Linked DNA regions of Schizosaccharomyces pombe. Each later gene encodes a partner of the first gene's protein in a complex. Each region holds a gene or a part of one and is shown in the gene's direction. Other genes may lie near its edges.

Region 1 (5,499 bases):
AAAATGTTACTGTGGGCCAGGCCTATTGTGAACTTCATAAAATACCTTACATAGAGGCAACTCCGCCACTTTTACGGGAAGAGCTTGTTAATTATCAATCTTAATTTTTCGTCTCCGGATAGAGTTTGTTCATGATTGCTTTTTTAATGAATAATATTGACAAGACTCGGATAGTTTTGTTAATCGTGTTTTACTTTACTACTAATCTATGGAATATTTTGAAAATAACATAATTTAATTTATACATTTCACGGCCTTAATCATCCTTTATTGGTTTATCATATTGAATAGTTGGTTTAGTAATAGAGGTACTAAAAGTCAAGCGTTAATTGTCCGAAGTATGCATTATAAATTCTAATTCCAAATGAGAATATTTCATAACCCATTCATTTGTATTAAACGTGACAGTAAATAAGAATTTATTTAGTCTTTATACATATGCCATCAATCTTCATAAAAACGTACTGGAGTTTAAATTTTAAAACGTGGTTATTACCCTTGCTTAAAAAACATTCTTTTTTTATTTAAGGAAATAAGTGTTGTGGCATTTAGTTTTCATATGCAATTAATAGGTTTTCAATCCCAAATTGCGTTGTCTACTAATTAAACGTCGTAACTACTTCTTTCTCGAATGGAATCGTAAATGAGTGAAGCACAATTAAAAACTTCCTTGGAGGCTTTAAGTCAAAATTTATTACCTGGAAACCAAAATCATTGCAGTTTCGACTTCCAATTGAAGGAAATTGACGATTCAATTAAACAGGTGATAAAATGTGCTCTAGTTGCTGCTGAGATAAAAAATAATGAGGTATGTGTACCATTATTACGAAAGATAATGGAAAAAATTAATATGAATTGCTTTTAAAACTCGAAAGTGGTGTTATGTCGAGATACAGTTTTTTAAAAAGAAGTTCGCTGTACAAATATACATACAAAAACATTGTTTAACTAATATTTTTCTTCCTCTTATTTCCGGCTATTGAGAGAGAGCCTAAAATAGACATAATATGACATGCTGCTTACTTTATGACTTCTGACTAACACTTGCCTTTTAGTGTTTGGACATGCTTGATAGCGGGATCCGAGAGCTGTTGGATGCAAAGCAGAGATTGTTATTGATGCAGCAATCGGTGGATACATTGGCTAACAAAACCAGTGAAAATATAAGTGATTTTGAAGTACGTACCACGGAAATGACTTTCCTACTTTTTCTATTATATGTAGATGAAGTAAAAACATCAATTTAGACGTATTTTTTTACTGTTTCATATTCAATTGTTCTAACAAAATTAGAATAAAAGTTTGTTGGATATTTATACACAAATTTTTAAGGAACTCATTCAAGAATACGAAGAAAAATCCGACTATGGTAAATATGGCACACAAGGAGAATACATTGAATTTAAAAAAACCATATGGCATGAGCAAAATACAGACGGTTCTGACTTTCCTTCTATGAAAACATTTTTTAATGTCATGAACACTGAAGAACAGGAAGCAGATGAAGTGATGGTATATTCAGCTACCTTTGATAACAGATGCCCTTTAACTTTACAACCAATTGTTCACCCAATATTATCGACAGCCTGTAATCATTTTTATGAAAAAGATGCTATTTTGTCTCTGTTAAATCCAACTTGTGTATGCCCTGTTGTAGGATGTGAAGCTCGTTTACAAAGGTCTTTACTTAAGGAAGATGAGATTCTTGAACGCAGATTACGCCGCGCTCAGGAAATAAGTAATTTAAAAGAAGCTTAGTCCTTTTCTATTTACATTGTAGTACTGATCCGGATTTATTATTATTATTATTATTATTATATTTAATGTATTTGTTTATTCCAACTTGTAAATATGCATAACATGTCTCTTTTGACTAATATTCTATGCTCGTACGGAAGCTTCAATTTTGGCATTTAATTATGAAGATAGTTAAATCTAATATAAGATCTACTTGATTGTAACCTTATGATAAACTTTGGCTCATGCTTGACTTTGACACTAGCCATTAACATACCATGTCCTCAGAAAATATGGATATTACTGAAAACATACAAAATGAGCAAAATAAAGATTTTGATGATATAGATTTTGAAAGAAGGCGTCGTCTTTTGACCTTACAAATTTCAAAAAGTATGAATGAAGTTGTGAATCTTATGTCAGCTCTAAATAAAAATCTTGAAAGCATTAACGGTGTTGGAAAGGAATTTGAAAATGTCGCGTCTCTTTGGAAGGAGTTTCAAAATTCAGTGTTACAGAAGAAAGATCGTGAAATGCTAGATGCACCTTGATGGTCGTTCTTTTCTAAATGTATTTTCATTGCCGCTAAACATATGCCTTAACGCAGTTTGTTTCAAAGAATTTGCATATTAAATTAAATTATTAGTTATTATATGTTTTTTATGAATCTATAAATTTAATAGCGTCCTCAAAAATTGGTCAAAGGTCAGGATTCTTTTAAATTAACTTACATATTACAATACACAAACCTTAAGTCACTTCATTAATAATGTGTTTGTATATATATATTAGTTTTTAATCTTCCTATATTCTTCTAAAAGCTGCCAATTTTTAAATAAGCCGTTCATCGTCTGAGAGGCAGAACAACTGTTGATGTTAATATTTGCATAGTAAACTTTTTCTTTACTACTATACGAATCCTTTTAGAAATTACCATTTTAATGGTATTATTTAAATTATAAAAGGGGTTTAATGCAGTTTAGCATAATAAAAAGGTAAAAGGAATCATAAGTATTCATTTCAATATCTTCTATATAACTATCGTTTTATTCACGACATGAATACCCTGAACCAGTCAGGGTTAAAAAACCGATTTTCAAAGTTTCGGACAAATATAGGCATATTTGAAGTAAAAGTAAAAAAAAACATTAAGACCAATTGATTTTTGCTGACATATATTCAGAATCAAACAGATAACGTCTTAATAAACAAATTATAAATCACAAAATAGCTCCAATAGTCGATAATCCATCTAAACCATATTGGCTAGTTAAATACCTGAAAAGATAAAAAGTTGAGATAGGAGCAAAATTCTGAAAAGGAAACTGCTACACAATATGCTTAGATTAAAAGAAAGCATACAAGCATAATGTCTCTATTGCAGCAAACGTTTGGAGTATTGGTTTATATGCAATTAGCAATGTTAGAATGCGTAAATAAAGCGTTTTTCTTGCTTCTTATGTTCCAACAATCTCATCAAATGCTATACAAATAGGCGAAGCAAAAATGAAGACATCAAAAATGGTAAGATTAAGTAAATAAAGGCCATGATCAAGATATTATAAAATCACGCAAGACTTTTTAGAAAACGAAAATGATTTTTTTATAGTGAGGCCAACAGCAAGTTGAAAAACTTCATTTACACCAGTGTTTTCTTTGGCAGAGCATTCGACATATGGAGCGTTCATTGATAAAGCAACGGATTGAGCCTAAATATGTTAAAAAAAATAAACGAAAGAAAAAAGTTAGCTTATCATTGACATACTTGTTGGTAGGTTACTGGTGTTAAACCCTGGGTTCTTAGTACTTCAGTAGCATTCCTATCTTTGCGTAAATCCGCTTTTAGCCCGACGAGAACGATGGGAGTTCTAGGGCAAAAGTGTTGAACTTCAGGATACCACTGAAAGAAAAATGTTAGAAAATAATATGAGAAAGATGAAATACTAATGGCTAGACGCAAATGACATTGAAGAAACCCAAAGCTACGTTTAGCAATATAAATTATAGAGCACATACCTTCTCCGTAACGTTATTCAGAGAAGCCGGACAATCAATTGAGAAACACAACAAAATAACGTTGCTATTCGGGTAACTTAGAGGACGTAAACGATCATATTCCTCCTGACCAGCAGTATCCCACAAAGCAAGTTCAATAACTTTGCTGTTCGGTCCATATGTTATATCGGTGATATAATTTTCAAACACTGTAGGCACATATCTCTAGCATGATGTTAGAAATCAGTATACTTAGATAATTCAAGTGAACTGAGTACATGAATCATATGAACACTGCACTTAAACAGTTATTGTTCGATCTATTGGCATACCTCGGGAAAAGTTCCGCTTGAGAATACAATTAAAAGACATGTCTTTCCTATACATCAAGCATTAGTACATTAGACCAGCTGTCATTCACCTATATTTATCAAGCATACCACAACCGCCATCTCCTACGACCACAAGTTTCTTTGAAGTCTCTGAAAAATTAGCAAAAACTTTAAGATATTTGAGAAAAAGGAACAATTGAATTACCTGACTTGGATCCACTCTTTTTGAAAGCAGACATATTGCCTTTGTTGTTGTTAATGTTTGCTTACCAGCTGAGATTGCTGGTATTTCCAAGCTAAACATTGCCATGACAACGCAGCACGTAAACAATAGGTAAATAAATATATAAAACAGTAAACGGAATATCCGCGATGAAACATATTTAAATTTATCAAGTGTGCATGGAATTTACGAAGGACTATGCCGGTTAATTGTTTTAATTGAAAAAGTTAGGTTGTTAGCCACCAAAAAAATTATAGGTATATATACCTGTCTATTTTTATTTTTAGGATTCAATGGACATTGCAAAGTTGTCAATTGTTGAGTCTGCCTAATAAAAGATGCTCGGTGTATTCATTATCATTCATATAATCCAAACGTTCTGTTTTCAACTAGTTCTACAAGCCTACATTTCAGGTTGCTAGAAACGTGTACATTAGTTAGATAAAAATACCTAACGAAATTGAAATATTTACCGCCAAAAGTATATATGGCAGGCTAGTCTAACACCTCATCGTTAAGTTGGCGACTCAATAAGTGAATTCATCAGCTTATACTAATTAATAAAGTAACGGGTTTTGGGAACTAAATTATTGAAGTAAAAATACATAATAATTAATTGATTATTCTACTTGGCCTTGAAGTACCATAACCAAAAAATTAACTCCCAAGGCGAGACTCGAACTCGCAACCTTCTGATGACCATCATAAGAGTCAGACGCTCTAAACCGATTGAGCCACTCGGGACTTGCTTGTACTTTAACGGATTAAATCTAATTTACGCATTTTCTTTAATTCACTTAAATAAGTAAGAAATGAGAATGAATAATAAAAATAATGTTCTGGCTATTTATTAGCAACATTCTAATAACTTTTGAATGTAATGTTAGCCCTTAAAATTTATAGATTACTGTTAGGTTTTGAAAATTTTTGTAAGTATGGGAAGTCATCATACGCGCAAAGGTAACAGCGTTTTGTTTGAAGAAGGAAACAATTCATGTATACTCGGATTTATTGCTGTTTTGTTTATACTCAACGCAACGCCCATGCTTAGAAGGTTGACAAGGAAAATTAATCAAACGGTTCTTGAGGGCTTGGTGATTGATTTGAAAGTTTGAAGGAAATGATTCATAGGCCTTAAGTATAGTTTGCTATTCCAAAACCTGTATACTGTCTACTAGAAAGAACGAGTAGTCTGTTTAGCTTTTCAGTTTG
Region 2 (5,964 bases), 580 kb from region 1:
AGTTAAGAGGAATTGACAACTGAAATACTAATTGGTTAATCATGACAAGGTCACCTACAGTAAGGTTGGAAGTTACAATTCCACGACAACCCATGTACATCATCAAAGTAAGAGCGGTAGAGAATATAATAGCCTGTCCTGAATTCAAAAAGGCCAAAGAAGATGCTACCTTAACGTTGGCTTTTTCGTAGGCGGAAAGATGCTTTTCATATCTGCTCATTTCGTATGATTCGTTATTAAAAGTTTTAACGGCTTCATAATTAATCAGAGATTCAATTGCCGCGGCTGATGCTTTACTGTCAGCAGCATTTGCTTGACGACGGAATACAGTTCTCCAGGATGTCGTCCTAACAGTAAAAAGAGCATAAAGAGCAACGGTTGTAGCAGCAATGGCCGAAAACGAAGGTCCGTACTTGTAAGTGAGAATACCACTCACCATAGCAATTTCAAGGGTAATAGGAATGATGTGTAACACCATGGAGGAAAGAATGAAACTAATACCTTTTGTACCACGATCCATTGCTCTAGTAATACTTCCTGTTTGCTTTGAGAGATGAAAATTCATGTCAAGGTTCAACAGATGTTGATAGACATTGCTAGAAACACTTCGAATAGCGCTTTGCGACACAATTGCAAAAACGCTATTCCTTAACTCTTGAAAAACGGTAGAAAATATTCTAGCAAAGCCATAACCGAGAACAACAGCTCCTACAGTAGACCACAATGCTCCTACTTCTTGAACAAGTGTTGTATTCATGGTATCGATAATTGATTTAAAGTAAAAAGGAACTTGGACGTTAAGAATTTTGGCAGCTACAAGTAGTGCGAGAGCCGAAACAACTCTAACTTTCAAATTAGTCTTCCCCTTGGGCCAAATATATTGAAGCATGTCCTTAACAATCATTTGTCCTGTTACATTTTTATCATCTGGTACATCGGAAGCAAGTTTAACAGAAGTATTCAGTGGCTCTTTTTCTTTTGATTTGTTATTCCATAACGCTTTTGAAGCCGAATTATTTCCATTTCTAAGTGGGAAACATTGCTTAGATGCAAAATTGGAAAACCGCAGTATATGTTGAAGAGGTAATATATTTGACTTTCTTAAAACAAGATAAGTTCCACGAGAATTAAGAAAAGAGCGAGCTGGAATATTTCTTGGCGAGCTGATTAATTTCCAGGGACATCGTTCTAGCATTTTTATTAATACAACACTTTAAGATGTCAGAGCTTCAAGCTGTTAGTTATACCCAATATACTGCTCTTCTATTTAAGATAATTAAAGTTTTTAAATCTATATTTAAATAGAATAAACTTGGCTGATAGAATATGAAAAACAGACGAAACGTTCAGTCAGAAAAACCTCAAATAGCCTCCAAAGAGGCAACTTTTTAATAGATGGTATATATGAATAAAAGAACTAAGAGAAGGATAATTCTCAAACCTTTAGTTCTATAAATCTGGCAGACTTAGAAAGTTGTAGATTTTGATTAGATCACGATTGCGAAGTAGAGTCCAACAATTGCAAACTCATCAAAACTGCACTGAGGATTACGAAATTTTTAGCGTGTATTAACCTTTATAAAAGTTTTACATATAATTATTAATGGATAATCTGAGCTGAAGAAATGTGTGCCTAAAGCGTAAACGTAAGAATGATTCGGTGTAGCAAATAAAGGAAAATAGCAAGGAATGAACGCAATGCTTTACCTTTGTTAAAATAATTTGCTGAGCGAGAACAGAATTTCAAAAACAGGCACAGGTGATTTCCATTATATCAAAGATACCAAACGTTTATTACGTTTTGGTTAAACCACCTGCACACACCCAGAGATTGCATACACTTTTGGCAACTCTGGTAAAGTGAATTGAAACATACCTTTTACTAATTACGAGTCGAATTAGTGTTTTTGATGACTTATTAAATAAATGTCTGATTTGTTGAATTATTTACAGTCTATTGCTGCTACATCAGAAAAACTTTTGGAACCGGAAAACCCAAACGCAGCACGTTTCACAGACGCGGTGCTACATACTCATGCTATAACTGATTTAATTCGCGATACTCAGAAGGAAGAACTAATTGCAGCTGAGTTCAAATCTCTACCGAAGGATTGGAGTGAAAGGTTGGCATCAGAAAACCCTGCAGACTACGTTGCTTGTATTGAGGAACTACTAGATATATATCCTATGCAAGGTGGCCGTGAATATTTGGAGACTCTGGTTGAGAAATACAACTTACATATGTCAGGAATTGAGAATTTGGAAAACGTTTTACTGGAACAGAAAGAGCAATTGCAGCAACTTGAAAAACGACAAACCGATCAGGTGTCTGCTAGGGAGAATATTCTACAGCGTGAAACTTCTGAAATCCAAAGACTTGAAAGAGAAATTGAAAAAGTGAAGCAACTGATACAATCTTAGGAAGGCTATTTGCGTTGGTAGTCAGATCGACTTTTCGTATTGGTGAACATTTAGAAAAGGAGAAGCGAGGTCGTTGTTTTATCATGGATTTGAGCAAAGAACAAGAAATGTATTTAAGCGAGGATATAAAAGACCATGGACTCATTCCTTTGAAGTTACATCCTCAAAGAAGCACCCGAGATATTTCTGATTGCAGTTATCCTTCGACGTCAGATGATCGATCGGCTTACTCCCAATACAAACTGATGAAGCTGAAGAGGAAAAAAAGAAGTCGATGTTTTGATATATCATCCTTTAAAAAGCATATTGAAATGTCGCTTGCTAAGAAAAAAGCAAGTTCGTCTACTGTTACTTTGAAGGCTACAAAAGAGCTAGAGGATTATGAATACCTAGAATATGAAAAACATAAAGAGAAGAGAAGAGAATCTTTGGACTGTTTGCTCCAGGAATTCTCTAAAGCGGCAAAGATATTGAACGAAGATAATTAGCAAACTAAGTACATTACAACTCAGGAGCATAATAACTCATTGTTTTTGTAATATTCTCATTTATAGAATAGTATGTGAAAAATACAATAATGTTCATGATAAGTTAAAGACGGCAATTAGATTACTGGCTCAACGCCAGCTTTTGCATTGGACTCATTTGTTGTAATGAGTTCTTAATATTTATACAAACATAAGTACATACTTGTTCTTAAAAGTTCTAAAAGATTTTATTTAAGATATAAATAAAAGTTCAATAGCATAGTATGATAGCAAGTAATGGAACACTATGTATTTATTCTATATTTGATTATTAATATAGAGTAAAAGTCAGGTTCATAGTGTTTCTATTGACTCGTCAACTATAATTATTTTTTGTTGTTACTGAATGATAGAATTTGAACGAATGTTTTAATTGCTAATACCAAGGCTGCTGCTCCACCTTAACAATCACACATTACGCCAAAAAAATTATTTACTCGATTTCTCAAAAAAAACAATAAAAAAGGATCAATAAGAATACCTTTATTAAGAAAAACTTCTTCTTTGGAAAATTAAAGAATACACTTACTGTTGTTTATTTCAGTGTTTGTTATTGTATTCACAATTATTTATTTGTTTACTTATTACATAAGGCTAGTGGATCACCTTAATCTTTCTAACTACACACACCATAAGAGTACAAAATTTTAGCAAGTATTTTGTATCAATTGAAATGTTTAACTTTACAAGACAGTATAGTGTTAAAGACGGCTTAATAACAGATGAATTGGCCAGTCACATCGTTGAGAACTTGCCAGCAAGATATGCTTCTGCTGAAACTTGGAAACGAATCTATTCGTTGCAACATGACGGCGCATCTCTTCAAACAATGTACTTAGCCTGCGAAAAGGAAAAAGCTCGAAGCGGCCATCCTAAAGGGGCTTGCATTTTAGCTGTGCGCGATACAGACGGCGATGTTTTTGGAGTTTTTATCCCTGATTATTTAATTCCTGCACCTCATTACTTTGGTTCCGAGGAAACCTTCTTGTGGAAATATTTTCCTCCCAAAAAGTATGTACATTACCCTTTCGTAGGAAATTCCAATTTTGTTGCATATTGCACCAAAAGCTTTTTGGCATTTGGTGGGGGTAATGGAAGATACAGCCTTTGGCTTGATGGCTCTCTAGAGTACGCTTACTCTAGTCGTACTCCTGCATTCGAAAACAATCCTTTGAGCTATCGTGGCTGTCCTGACCAACGAATCCAAATCGTGGACATCGAGCTCTGGGTATTGGAGTAATATCAACTAACGAATGAAAAGAAAAAAGAAAATAAAAGATGGACTCGGAAATGTGCATCAGCCCAAGTTTTATATTTATATCAAGATTAATATTTTACCGTGCTTTCTTTATGACTAATTTATTCAACCAAAGACAATTTTATGCTGACTCTATGCATTGATTATTATTCTTAATTCAAGTTAACTCGTTGATTTGCATGTTCAATCAATGAATATCGAGTTTACCAGAAATTCGAGCCGTAGGACTCTTCCCTCCCATTTGTGATGTATAGCTTTCTATCATCAGCTAATTTTTAATACTTCTTCTCAATTCCGGAAGATTACGTTTGTTAATTGATCAAGCATGAATATCCTTGCTATTAATTTCTTTACGCCTTATGCATTGAGTGAACGAATCAAATGAAGAGCATCCCCAATATCTTCTCCCCAATTGTCTATTATTTATTAATTTTCTCTTTTTCTATTCATAACTTTTAATGCTACACTTAGTATATTTATTCACGTGGTTGCTTTTCATCAACAATTCGTATCGTCCCTAATTGACGAATCGATTTCTACCATCCACTTTATATCAGTAATAATAATTATTATGAAGTTTTATTTATTATGTTTCTTTTTGATTACCGTGTAAACACTTGAAACCTGTATTCAAATCTCGATAAACTACCATAAGATTAGTAAAATGTTTGCAACCACTACCCAATTGTAGAAAACAAATTGACAAAATTTACCAACTTAACAGGATAAATCACCGTTTATATCTTCTGTTTATTATGTGGAATTTTTGTGGTTACTTAAATAAAACCACTTTCTTTCGCCAATAAACTATAAAAGAAATGAGCTATGCAAATTTAATATCCTAAATTTAATTACTCTTTGATTATTAACGTCTTTATAAATTCCTTTTTAGTCTCTAGTTGATGAATTGTTTAGAATAATCTTTAAGTTATAAGGCAGTGGAGCACGGCATCCTTAAATGACTGTTTGGGCTTAAATGATATTGAGAAATATGTCTAATCCCTCTACATTGTCGAAATGCCTCCATCCAAAGGGCTGAATGGCAAGCTAGAAAAGCCAAAACACGCTCTGCAAGGTAATGTTTTTGGGATTCAAAAAGTGTTTGTTACTAATTTTTAGCGATTGTTTTGTCGGATTCTTATAATTATCGGTTTCGCCCTCTTACATTAGATAAACCTCGCGTATGCAATTACCAGTGTACACTTTAAGTACTAATATTATTAGTGTCTTCTTCCTTTAGCAAATACCCCTTTAATAGAGTACACTTTTGAGTTTTTGGCATTGGCCGGGGTGCAAGAAGTTTATGTATTTTGCTGTGCCCATGCAGGACAAATTCGAGAATATATAGAGTATGTGCTAAATTGAGGTCTTAAATTCGAATTTCTGATACGATATAACTAACACAATATAACCCACAGAAAGTCAAAGTGGAATCTTCCCTCTTCCCCCTTTAGTGTAAACACGATTGTGTCAAGAGAATCTCTGTCGGTTGGTGATGCTTTAAGAGAGCTCGATTCAAAACAGCTAATTACCTCCGATTTCATACTCGTATCAGGCGATGTGGTATCCAATGTGCCTCTAAACGAAGTTTTGAAAGAACATCGGAAGCGCCGTGAAGATGATAAAAATGCTATTATGACAATGGTTGTACGAGAAGCAAGTCCATTTCATCGTACACGCGCCCGTACAGAGAGTTCTGTTTTCGTGATAGATAAAAAGACCAGCCAATGCGTGCATTATCAAGCTAACGAAAGGGGA
Region 3 (5,757 bases), 2.1 Mb from region 1:
TGCAATGAATCAACCACTGAACCGTACAAGGACATAGCATCCTCCCTTGCTGAGGCTAACTTATCGGTAATATCTTTAAGACGATCTTGTACTTCTGTCAATCGAGCGTTGACTTGGTTGGCATCCATCTCGTGTTTTTCAAGTTTGTATTTCGCTTCTATGACATTAAGTCTACTTCCCAACATCTTCTCGAAATTATTCGTAGCTTTAATTGAATTCTCCTTAACTTTTAACACCGAATTCATAAGAGCTTCGAAGTTCTCTTTCCTGATATCTTCATTTTTTTCAATTTCAGCTGCAAATTGCTCAGGAACTTTCTCTCTTTGTCTTAGTAGAAGAGTTTGGTGTTCTATTCTTTCTTGTAATTGTTGCCATTCGTGAATAGGAATTAATTTTTCGTCACGCTCTTTTCGTAGAGTAGATAATATATCGTTTGTACGAGAAAGCAGCGATTCGTGCTCATTTACCTTTTCTTGTAACTTTCTTTCCTCATTCTGTAAATTTTCCAATTGAGAGAGTTGAGCATTTAGTTGCTCCTCCTTTCGCTTTACCAAATCCATCTCAACGTTCTCGGAAAAATATATACTGCGAGAAGGTAATGGGTCTGTTCGCCTAGTAATTTCTCTATCACCGTAAGCTGAACGAAAAACCAAGTGGATAGATGAGCCCGCCAAGTAAGTTTTAAGAACTGGATCCCCGTTAGCCAGACGAAAATTGTTTAACGCATTCACTGATGCGGGAGGTAGTTCCCTTTTTGCAATCGGAATTTGATGAATTTTTAACATATGGCACAAAGCAACCAAAACCACTTCTGGCCCCTCTAAAAAATCGATCACATATCCGTCAAACCCGAAAGACTGAAGCTTCTCACGAGAGCATGGAGGTTCAAAATCTTCTATCTTCTTTTTTCGTTCACTGGAGAATTCTCTTATAGTAGGAGTGTACTTAGTTTTTGAAGTGATAAGATCCATTAACTTTAGATAATCATTATAATTTGACATTATAAATGTTCGAAACGTATCCGTGCGAAAAAACCCTTCTATCAAAGCTGCAAACCCTTTTTCCTTACATTTCAAATTCATATAAATTGGGCCGTATGCGGGTGCTTCAAACGCAGATTCGTATTCCTTCAATAACTGATACGTCTGATAAGCATCTTCCCAGCCTGGAGCAGAAGACATAAAGTCTAGTTTCCTTTTCGTAGCATCGTTGTAGTAGGACAACTCTCTTTTAATGTTATCAAGGTCAATAAGCTTTTGTGCTTTCAATGTTCTGATACTACCTAGTTCATGAGAGCTCTCAAGTTTCTCGTTTTCATGTTGAAGTTTTTCCGCATTAACTTCTTGCATCTTTTCTTGTAGATCTTGAACACCGTTATCCGAAGGTCTTGGGCCTTGTCTTTCTGTTAATGACTTCACCGATTGTTGTGCTTCATTTAATGTAAGATTTGCATTCCGTAAAAGTGTTCGATTGGTATTAACCTTCTCATAAAGCTTTTTCTCGTTCTCCATGAAATTCGAAAAAGAAGCTCTGGCTCTTAAATTTGAGGTATTAAGTTCCATCGAAGCGGAGGAGTAATCGTTAAATGTATCATCTTTTAGTTTTAAATCCGAACGCAGCTCTTCACCTTTATCCAAAATAGGTTGAAATTCTTCCACTAGGTCTTTCAAATCCTTTTTTAATTTTTTTTTGTCTGCACGAAGTTGGTTAAAGACATTGGTTTTCTCTCTGTATATAACTAACATTTTAGCTAACCCTAGCATTTCGATGTATGATTTGATTTTTTCCCGTTCTTTAAATATATTGACTTCCTTCTCTAGTGCCTGTTGTCTATCTTTTAATGAATTTAATGTTGATTGTCCTTGGTTTTTATTTTGTAAAATTTCCCTTTCTCGTTTTCGTAAATCAATAAGCTTCTCATGTGCGGGAAGTAACCCTTCATGGTCAATTGCACGCTCAGTTTCCATCAGTCTAGAATAAGGATCAAGCTGAGCGAATTCTGCAACACGGTCTTGTGGTAAAAAATGACAAAGATTATTCAATTGTACATTGAAAGTATCCATTAGAGACGTTATTGAAGAAGTGGCACATGCTTCCCTATTAATAGAGAAAGAACTACTCTTATCCTGGCTTATTTGTCTCGTGATAGTAACCGTTTCATCGTCACGATACTTCATTTCAATTTCTATGGTTGCAGTGTTTTTGCCATACTTTATAAATTCACGGGCCTCTTTAGCTCTCCCAAGTAGCTAAATCGTTAATCAATTAAGTTATTTTTTATAATATTGAAAGACTTACTTTTGGGGGCCATCCCAGCCCAATGCATATTGCTGAAACAATTGTGCTCTTACCTGTCCCATTTGGACCGATAATCAAATTTAGATATGGACCAGGGAACAGTTCACAATAATCGTATGTAACAAAGTTCACTAATTTAATTCGTACAATACTTCCTAACGCGTAACTCTCGCGTGTTAAGATCATCGAAGTATAAAAAGCAGAAATACTAAATAGAAAAAAGCTATAACTTACTCTGAATACAAAGGATTACTTTTTCTTCGTTTCGAAGGCCTAAGGCCATCCATGGTGGAAGTAAGGAGGATTTCAGTCAACTAGGAGTTTGCTGAGAGCAAAGTGCTTATGCAAGGCAAGGTACAATGAGTTTAGAGGAAAAAAGAGCTCTCCAGAATCAAATTTTAGCTGAATATGCTAATCTTGCATCAAATTTAGAAACAGTAAGTCTTTTTTATTCAGCAGTTGGTTAATATTTAGCTTGTTAAGGTGTTACAGGACATGGTTTATAATCCCAGCAACAATATTCTGGACTCGCTAAGGGATTTAGAAAAGGAGGTTGGACTTGTATATACTCTTTACAAAGCTAGTGTTTGGGCGATTTTGGCAGACCTAGAAAATAACCAAGAAGGTAAAAGCGGCATGTTTCAAGATGAAAGTTGATAACGTGCTTGTTTGAAATTGAAAATACGTCAAACCGAACTATAAATTAAGCTTTAACTCTACTGTTGGTGCTTTTCGTGTGGTTTACTATGAATATTTGGAACTGAATATTTACCGGATAATTTTTCAATCACTTTTACAGAGAAAAAAATACATCCTACTTGGAAGAGTAAAAACAGGCACAAGATATAAGCTTATGAAGGTTTTTAAAAAGCACTTTTCGGCTAAAATGTCCAAGAAACGAATATGGGTATTGTTTTTAAAAAGTTGGTTAGATCACTTTTAATCAATTATCCAAAACAACCCTTTGGAAGTAGTCCGGCCTTAAATATTTCTAAACTATTACCCCGGAAACACTGACCTAATGAATCTTCCGATTAATTGCCTGTTAACATTTTATTAGATCATGCTGGATTCGAAAGTGTTTTCAAGCTTTCCTAAAAGCGTTATGAAAATGGGGTTGCATGAGAATCTGCAATGTTGTAAGCTGTTGATTTCTTAATCAAATAATAAGTTTCCTTCCTTGTTTTTTTCTAACCGTAATGGTTATTCATACTCAAATTTCTTCGTTATGAAGAGCAACTTACAATTGGGACTCGTTTTTGTCCTCGGATCATTAAAGTGAATACAGCGAGAAATTTTCTTCTGCTTGCATTTGACTAAAAATCATTTAAATGCCAGCAACTCTCTTCGAGATTGAAATCCAAAGTTTCTTCTGTTTGTACTAATATGGATTCTCATAATTTACTATATTTGATAAGCAATGAGGTTCATATTTTATTAATATACTTAATAGTGTCAAGCCCAATCCTTCAAAATATTGGCAAGTGTATGTTTTGGCATTACCAAATGACTTTGGTTTATAGTGGTATAACGTAATAATAATGGGTATTGTCTTTATACCGTTATAGACACTGCTTTTACGTTTTGATAGGCGCGTCTTACAAAGTATATATATATTTATTGCTTACGCGCATCACCGTTTTGCAAAGTGTATATAAAAAAAAGCAAGAACTATGGACTTTTTATCACATGCCATGCTTAGTCGATCTGAATCAACGCAAATTCTTTGTGAATTGAGTCAAATAGACGAAAGTACTATGGATCCTCAATATACTGAAGATGATGTTCTCGCTCGATTGTTTGTTTTTTCATCATCTTCTCCACAAACAGGTGTGTTCTCTTGTTTCAATTGATTTTTGACATATATTAGTACTGAATGTTAAGAAATATGAAGACGTTTCTGTTGGAAGGAGTAATACATGCAATTATCAGCTTCTGCAATTCACTGCCAGTTATAAGCACTTTAGAGTGTATTCGGTGCTAATCGATGATGATATGGATCCCCTTGTTTATTGTGAAGATCAGAGCTCTAATGGAACATTCTTAAATCATCGTTTAATTGGTAAAGGCAATAGCGTCCTTTTATCGGATGGAGATATACTCGATGTTCGGCACTGCGCTTCCTTTCTTTTCCAGCAGAAATACACTACTGATAATGATTTTCATCACGAGTATGCGGGTGAGAGATTTAACATCACTCAAAGACTATTGGGAATTGGTGGCTTCTCGCGCATTTACATGGCAATGGATAATAACACTGGGGGACAATACGCGTGTAAAATCATCGACAAGAAAAAAATCTCAACGAAACGGTTTTTCGAGGACCACGAGATGACAATTCTTAGGAAACTTGATCATCCTAACATTATCAAAGTAAACATGGAGTATAATTCGGAAACTCAGTTGTAAGTAGATTGAATGCGGTTTGTTATTTTGATGATTAATATTCCTTAGTTTTATATTTGAGGAAATGGTGACGGGAGGAGATTTGTTCAGTTATTTAACGAAATTGGGAACGGTTCCTGAAGTTACCACTTTATTTATTATGTTTCAAATTCTACAAGGGCTAAAATATTTACATGAGCAGAATATAATTCACAGGGATTTAAAACTTGAAAATATTCTCATTGCGTCGTCCTCTGATACCATTTTTAGAATCATTTTAACCGATTTTGGTGTTGCAAGATGTATGCAGAAGGGAAAAAGACTTTCGACTTTCGTAGGCACTCCGGAATATACCGCCCCGGAAATCCAAAGATTAAAAGGAAGGTCTCAAGTGGAAAAGGAAAATTCTTCTGGTTACGGTAAAGAGGTCGATTTATGGAGCCTTGGAGTAATTATGTTTTTGCTGTTGTCAGGTAATTCACCATCATTTGCAGATGGAGTGAAAGAAAAACAAGTGGATTTTCGAGATCCTGTTTGGAAATCCGTCTCCAGGCAAGCCAAAGATCTGATATCAAATCTTTTAAAAACGAATCCCCCAGATCGGTTCACAGTCAAACAATGTCTTTCCCATCCCTGGTTCGCGCGACATAGTAGTCGTCTCACCAAATTATATGAAACTCGTATTCTCAAACCTCTTAAACATTCCCGGCTATAGCCACGTAAGAAAATATTCGATAAACTTGATAAAACGATCGAAGTTTCTCCACATAAAAGCTATGTGTCTGAACTATGTAATTCTAACATTACTTAATTAAGTTATTTTTAGCTATAAACTATAAAATATGAACACATTTAATCTTTAGAATTAATCAGGCAATCCAACTTACGCAATTAATATAAAGAAATTTTATTACTTAAGATATGAGTGACCATCAATTTGTCAGCCATTTTCCCTACCTTAAAAAAAAACAATTTTTAGTCTCAATCAGCGTAAATTTGGTATTTTATAGATATAAGCATCCTTTTTTTTTTAATAGCTTAAAAAAACTTTATAAAAAGATAATCCTCTCCCTC
Region 4 (5,447 bases), on another chromosome or scaffold:
CCAGTAGAAAGAAGCGCAAAGAAGAAAATTTGAAAGGGGCCTTTTCTCGGAGTACAATAGGACATCTCGCATCTGTGCAATGCCTCGGGGCACTAATGTAGGCTAAATTACTCACGTGGATAGTCAATTATCGAGGGTCGTAGGGATCCCGAGCCCTGATAGATAAAAACGTCGGGCTGCGGCAAAATGTATATCAGTGATCCTGTACACCAGAAAGTGGATGATTCAATTACCACGGTATCTATCAGATAAGTAAGATGGATTGTTTCTGAATTACACCAAATGAGGAGAAATCGATTACGCAAAATGAATTGATAAGCACAACATTTGACAGGGAATGAAAAATGTTCGTTTAACGGGGGTGGGATTTTAAAAATTTCATTTTTTACGCATTCAGGTGCTGAGAAAGACAAAACGTATGGAAGATCGTTAAACGAAGTAAGAAAAGAGAAGAAGAGAAAAGTGATGATTTGCAAAGGCTTCTCTAATGTTTCTTTTAGTATGGATACCTCAATAGAAAAAGTCAAAGACCCAAAAAAAAAATAAAATAAAGGTCCTTCTGATGAACAACAAAAACTTTTTTTTACCTCTATTCTTTTGCTCGATAACAAATGGAATGCTTTAGATTTCGAAAGACTTTTATTAATCATGTTATCAAGTGTTCCTCCATCATCATCTTCCTTGTATACGGATATGTCGAGGAATGTAATAGACTGGGCCAACTAAGCAAGTCATGTTTGATAGGCGATTTCTCAGCCAAAGTGGGTAGACTGTATTTGTATGGTTTTGATCATTTTTGGTACTAGTCAGTTTCATGTAAAGTTTGGATTTAATTATTGGGTTTGACTCAAATCTCAATTTCATATTTGTGTTAATGTTAGTTTCATTCATATACTTTCGTCAGCATTTGTTTATGAAATTTCATGTTTCTTTTGCGAGCTCTTTTACTACTGCCCCATCTAGTCTGCATCCGTTCTCATTATCAAGAAATACTGCGGTACTGGTGCGAGGGTAGATGATTATCAAGGTAGGATGAAAATCCGCTCCACAAAGTTGTTAGTGATAAGTGGTAAAAGACGGTATGTGTTTGAGGTAACCATAATCGCCAAGATAGACAAGATGCAAGTGGAGCATTGTCGGCGTTAAAGTTAGTATTTTGATTTGTTTGAGCTATCAACATGAGTAAGTGTGCGGCGGCAGGCGAGTCGCAAAAGGAAAAAAAAAAGCCTTCATTTAGTTATCAGAGCATCGCCGACGTATACCTTTTTTCCATTGATAAATTTGTGTTAGTCAGTGCAGTTGTTCAACACAATCGGTCCTCCGTTTATCGGTAGCTCTTTTTTGCACTTTGACAAAGCACAAAATTCGTTTACATGCAATCATCTATTACGGATGTAAATGTCCGTCATAATCAAAGGAATGCCAACAACGCCAAGTGAAAGCGAGATGAGTTGGGAAAATAGGATCGCAATTTGACATTCCTACGTCTTCCTACGTCTTTCTTGGAATGAAGTAATCAACTCTTCGTAAATTAGCAGGGACGAGGAAAATATGCGACTGTTATCATTTTTAGCGCAATAAGGATAAGAAATGAGTGATTTAGGAAATAAGCAACTGGGAGATATCCATTATCACTTCCATAAGCGATAATGATAAACCGCAGGAAAAACACGTGTGAGCATGAAAAAGGGTATATATACATAGACGGAAAGGGGCTTCATCTTTTCTTTTTCTTTTGTTAGGGGCGTGGTGAATGGAAGTATTTCTTTGTTTTATGGGGAAGCGTACAAAATTGTGAAACGAAACGATGTATGTGTATGGAGTGTAGGAGTCATTCATTTTCATGAAAGAAACTATAATAAAAATGGGGTATATGATTAGAAAGGGATGAGTGAATGTTTGAAAAAATTACTTATAAAATGGTAATGAATATGATTAGAAAAAGCGGTATGAGGAAGCATGGTTACTAAATGAACCAACTTGATTATATAAAAAAAAAGAAACAAATTAAAAACTAATTTTCATCTAACTCAGGAATTCCTCCTTTGAAAATAGCCAAACATTAACTAAAAAAATTAAAAAAAAAAAAAGTAGAAAAAAAATGTAAATATTACAAATACTTCCCAAACTCCCATAAAGCATTCTATGACGATTTCCTTACACCAAGCAATTTTCCTGTTGGATTTTATTTGTCTCGACTGGTTTGTGTATCCCTGTTTCCTTTCTTTTGTTTCCAAGAGAATCATTTCCAGGGAATTGATACATTTGTCCATGCTAAGATAAAATCCATTGTTCGGTCAACTCACTTCCGATATATCTGAAACGAAAAAACAAAACCTGATTAGAAAAGCTATATGTTTTCACATATAAGAAGACTATATGTCAAACCCCATCCTAGCGTCGATATGAAATGGAACTCTGTGAAATGATAGATGTGGGGGACCTAAAAGATAAACCCCAGTGTAGTGAAATCTCGATGCTTTTGAAACTGAATAAAACCCGAGGATATTAAGACAAGTAGTTTATTAAAAAAAAAGGTTTTCCGATCGTAGTTGAGTAAAGTTTGAAAATTCAAACAATAATTAAAACAACGGATGCACATCACGCTGCTGCGTCTTCTCTTGCACGGACATTGACTTCCGTATGTAATTTGTCTAACGATCGTGCTCTTTCCATTTCTTTTTTCCTTTAAAATACTCATTTGCCTATCTTCCTCATAAGATGCCTAGCATGTCGAGCTTACGGAGAATTTTTATTTCCTTTGATTTGGACAAAGCACCTCATCCAACATGATTGTGATCGGAGCTTTGGAGCACTTTTCATCAGTTCCGTCTTCATCCTCCTTCTACACTTCCATGGAAATTATGCAAAACTTGATAATTCCATCCTTACCAATAATTTTGCCTATTTCCACGGAACTGACCCGAAAAATTTAGCAAAAGGAACGATTTCGGTATTACTTATTAGCTTGGAAATTATGTCTCGCTAAACCATATAACGAAAGTTTGGTTTTTTATCAGTAAGCGAAAAATTTACCGTCCCCCTTTTCCTTCTTGTCAGCTACATAAAAGATAGGTGCGCTGCGCTGGTCGCCTTTTTCTGCCACTCTTTCCACGCTATTTTACGCTCTTATTCATTTTTGAGGAATACTAACGTCGGCCGGTATTGTTGGAAATCGCTGCAATTTGTTAAATTGAAATACCACTCAAGTGGGTAATGGTCTCCTTTAATTGTCGATACTGAAGGTTGATTGCATTTTAGTGCGGTGTCTTAAAAGCTGCACTCGCCCATCACACACGCGTTTGGTTTGTTTACCTTCCATCTACCTGTCTGCCTTCTTTCACTTTCACCTTACACCATGCGTCGTTCTACCATTGTGCCAACTAGTCGAACAAGCAGTTCATCTCCATCTCCCAGTCAAATGAAAAGCTTTCAAATGAATCGTTTGGTGGACCAACTGTCCAAGTTGCAATCCAACATGTCTCATTTGGAAAACCACTTACATGTTACCGCAATTCAAGCAGAAGCCATCCGACGTCTTGGTGCTCTTCAGGCCTCGCTTCTGATGGCGTCTGGTCGCGTTATGTCCGAAGCGAGGATTCAAAAGTCTTCAGATGCTGTGGAAGAAGACGTTCCTATGTGAGTCTCCAACTTTTTTGATGCAGACCTCAAATGACAATGATAAAAAGGAGAATACAAGAGACAAAGTGCCCCAATGAAGGAGAAATATAACAGGAAAGGAAGTAGGAATGTGCTCTTTCTTAATTAGATGGGGCTATTTCTTATTTTACTGCAACAATGCGGTATTTGGGGCTTCTTTCAATATGTGGGTGTTGGAGTTGTATCAACTATGCATCCGGAATACGGCTTTTCGGCATTTTACGCTATGGGAGTTTTGCGACTCTCGGGCTGCACTCCCGAAACCTATGTTACTGCATTGTACGATGCAGTTCTGTAAAAAATAGCAGGCTAAAAGAGGGTGTTCTAGTTCGTCTAATAAGTGATCTCGTTCATTGGTCAGCTCGGTCGGCTAAGTAACCAAGGGAAACTGCAAAAATTGGATACCAGAAATGATTGGTCAATTGCGCTTCACAAAACAGTCAGTGTACCAATCATATGGTTTTTATTTGAGATAGCGCACAATCATTGGATAGCTAGCTAAAAAAAGGTAAAAGTGGTTCCTTTCGTTAGGCTTCTTTATTTTCACCTTACGATTTACCGAAGAGAGCTTCTTCGACCTCGCTTAGATGGGTGTGAACAACGCCGTCCCTTTGCCAACCTCAACGAAAAAAGAAAAGCAGGTTGTACTAATTTTAAACGTTTCAAACGATTTTGTAAATTGATTTCTTTAAGCTTTGGCTCCTCCTTATTACATACCTAATCAATAAATATCTGTTTTCTTTTGCAGTTTCTTCTTTTTTTGCTCTCTTCCAGGGAAAACGGAAATTTGATTTGAGGAAGCCATAGCGCCACCATTCCCCAATCTGTCTACAAATTACTTTTTTTTGTTCCACCACACCTCTGGATTGTATTCTAGCTTATATCTGTTTTATTTTTCTATATTTGTTTTGGTATTTTAGTTCGTTTTTGTTGTTTTATTTCCCCTTTTTAGATCGTTTTTGTTTTGGGGTTCACGTCTTTTTTGTTTAAAGTACCTGTTCATATCAAAGCAACTTGAACTTCTTGCTATTTTTACCTTCGCTCGTGTGGTTTGCACAATCATTTCAAAGTAGTACCTAACTAAACAACGTTGTTGGTGTGTCTTGGTATTCACTGCCATTTCGTGTTTTCCATTTAAAGAAGCTTTCTTGGTCCTAGCTTAAGATTTCCTGTTTTTTTATATCTTACCTTATATTATTATTTTTTTGTGATTTTTTACTACAACTTTTTTTTTGTTTAACGTTTGAGAGGCGATCTCTTTCGTTCATTTCATTCGTTTATTTTTTGTTTCGGTTTTTTATTCGGAAACTTCCCTTTTTCTTTCTTATCCACATTTCAAGCTGGCTGAAGTTACTGATTTTTTGGGTATCATTTTTGGATATATCCCTGCTTTGTGATTAAACATTTTTTGCATAAAACCTTACTTATGGATCTAAAGTTTTCCAATTTTTTCAAGGAAGCGGAACATCCAGCACTTGTCAAAAAATTTGACAAATCTACCACGGACGAATCTTCCTCCAAAGAAGATTATTCCACGATGTCAGACCTCTGGAAAATGTTTTCCAAGGCAAAGTCGGAACTGTCTAATGGTCGTCGTGTCGAGAACTTGACATGGCGTTTAATGTCTATAAATTTGCAAAAGAACTTAACACCAAATGGTGATTCAAATACTTTAACCCCAGACACTTTCTCTGATCCCACTGCCCCTTCTAGTGCTCAATCCGTTCCTCCTACTTCTTCTGCTGAAACCACTGCCGATAACTCAGATACTGAAATGAAATTAAACC

What was found.
Region 2: dad1 (region 1) and spc34 share a complex: the UniProt entries of both Schizosaccharomyces pombe proteins name them as parts of the DASH complex.
Region 3: dad1 (region 1) and dad3 share a complex: the UniProt entries of both Schizosaccharomyces pombe proteins name them as parts of the DASH complex.
Region 4: dad1 (region 1) and dad5 share a complex: the UniProt entries of both Schizosaccharomyces pombe proteins name them as parts of the DASH complex.

Annotation. Positions count from the first base shown.
Region 1 is NC_003424.3:3,085,842-3,091,340, reverse strand, and holds dad1 (DASH complex subunit Dad1), read left to right. Parts: upstream 1-2,000; 5' UTR 2,001-2,015; coding exon 2,016-2,288; 3' UTR 2,289-2,557; downstream 2,558-5,499. Other genes in the region: taz1 (telomere length regulator), read left to right, coding at 1-104; Smc5-6 complex non-SMC SUMO ligase subunit Nse2, read left to right, coding at 644-808, 1,056-1,178, 1,294-1,758; Rho family GTPase Rho4, read right to left, coding at 3,297-3,446, 3,503-3,637, 3,754-3,957, 4,065-4,111, 4,173-4,214, 4,270-4,303. UniProt on the Schizosaccharomyces pombe protein: Component of the DASH complex that connects microtubules with kinetochores and couples microtubule depolymerisation to chromosome movement; it is involved in retrieving kinetochores to the spindle poles before their re-orientation on the spindle in early mitosis and allows microtubule depolymerization to pull chromosomes apart and resist detachment during anaphase.
Region 2 is NC_003424.3:3,670,757-3,676,720, reverse strand, and holds spc34 (DASH complex subunit Spc34), read left to right. Parts: upstream 1-1,826; 5' UTR 1,827-1,926; coding exon 1,927-2,421; 3' UTR 2,422-3,022; downstream 3,023-5,964. Other genes in the region: ABC family Fe transporter Atm1, read right to left, coding at 1-1,195; V-type ATPase inhibitor and disassembly protein in response to oxidative stress Oxr1, read left to right, coding at 3,622-4,188; translation initiation factor eIF2B epsilon subunit tif225, read left to right, coding at 5,224-5,281, 5,326-5,387, 5,431-5,555, 5,625-5,964. UniProt on the Schizosaccharomyces pombe protein: Component of the DASH complex that connects microtubules with kinetochores and couples microtubule depolymerisation to chromosome movement; it is involved in retrieving kinetochores to the spindle poles before their re-orientation on the spindle in early mitosis and allows microtubule depolymerization to pull chromosomes apart and resist detachment during anaphase.
Region 3 is NC_003424.3:5,227,169-5,232,925, forward strand, and holds dad3 (DASH complex subunit Dad3), read left to right. Parts: upstream 1-2,630; 5' UTR 2,631-2,657; coding exon 2,658-2,735; intron 2,736-2,772; coding exon 2,773-2,955; 3' UTR 2,956-3,732; downstream 3,733-5,757. Other genes in the region: Smc5-6 complex SMC P-loop ATPase subunit Smc5, read right to left, coding at 1-2,249, 2,299-2,464, 2,533-2,585; mek1 (meiosis-specific serine/threonine protein kinase), read left to right, coding at 3,972-4,128, 4,169-4,703, 4,753-5,398. UniProt on the Schizosaccharomyces pombe protein: Component of the DASH complex that connects microtubules with kinetochores and couples microtubule depolymerisation to chromosome movement; it is involved in retrieving kinetochores to the spindle poles before their re-orientation on the spindle in early mitosis and allows microtubule depolymerization to pull chromosomes apart and resist detachment during anaphase.
Region 4 is NC_003421.2:1,668,517-1,673,963, reverse strand, and holds dad5 (DASH complex subunit Dad5), read left to right. Parts: upstream 1-3,101; 5' UTR 3,102-3,358; coding exon 3,359-3,643; 3' UTR 3,644-4,020; downstream 4,021-5,447. Other genes in the region: SPOM_SPCC417.03 (uncharacterized protein), read right to left, coding at 1,600-1,721, 1,913-1,961; DNA-binding transcription factor, nutrient sensing, zf-GATA-type Gaf1, read left to right, coding at 5,087-5,447. UniProt on the Schizosaccharomyces pombe protein: Component of the DASH complex that connects microtubules with kinetochores and couples microtubule depolymerisation to chromosome movement; it is involved in retrieving kinetochores to the spindle poles before their re-orientation on the spindle in early mitosis and allows microtubule depolymerization to pull chromosomes apart and resist detachment during anaphase.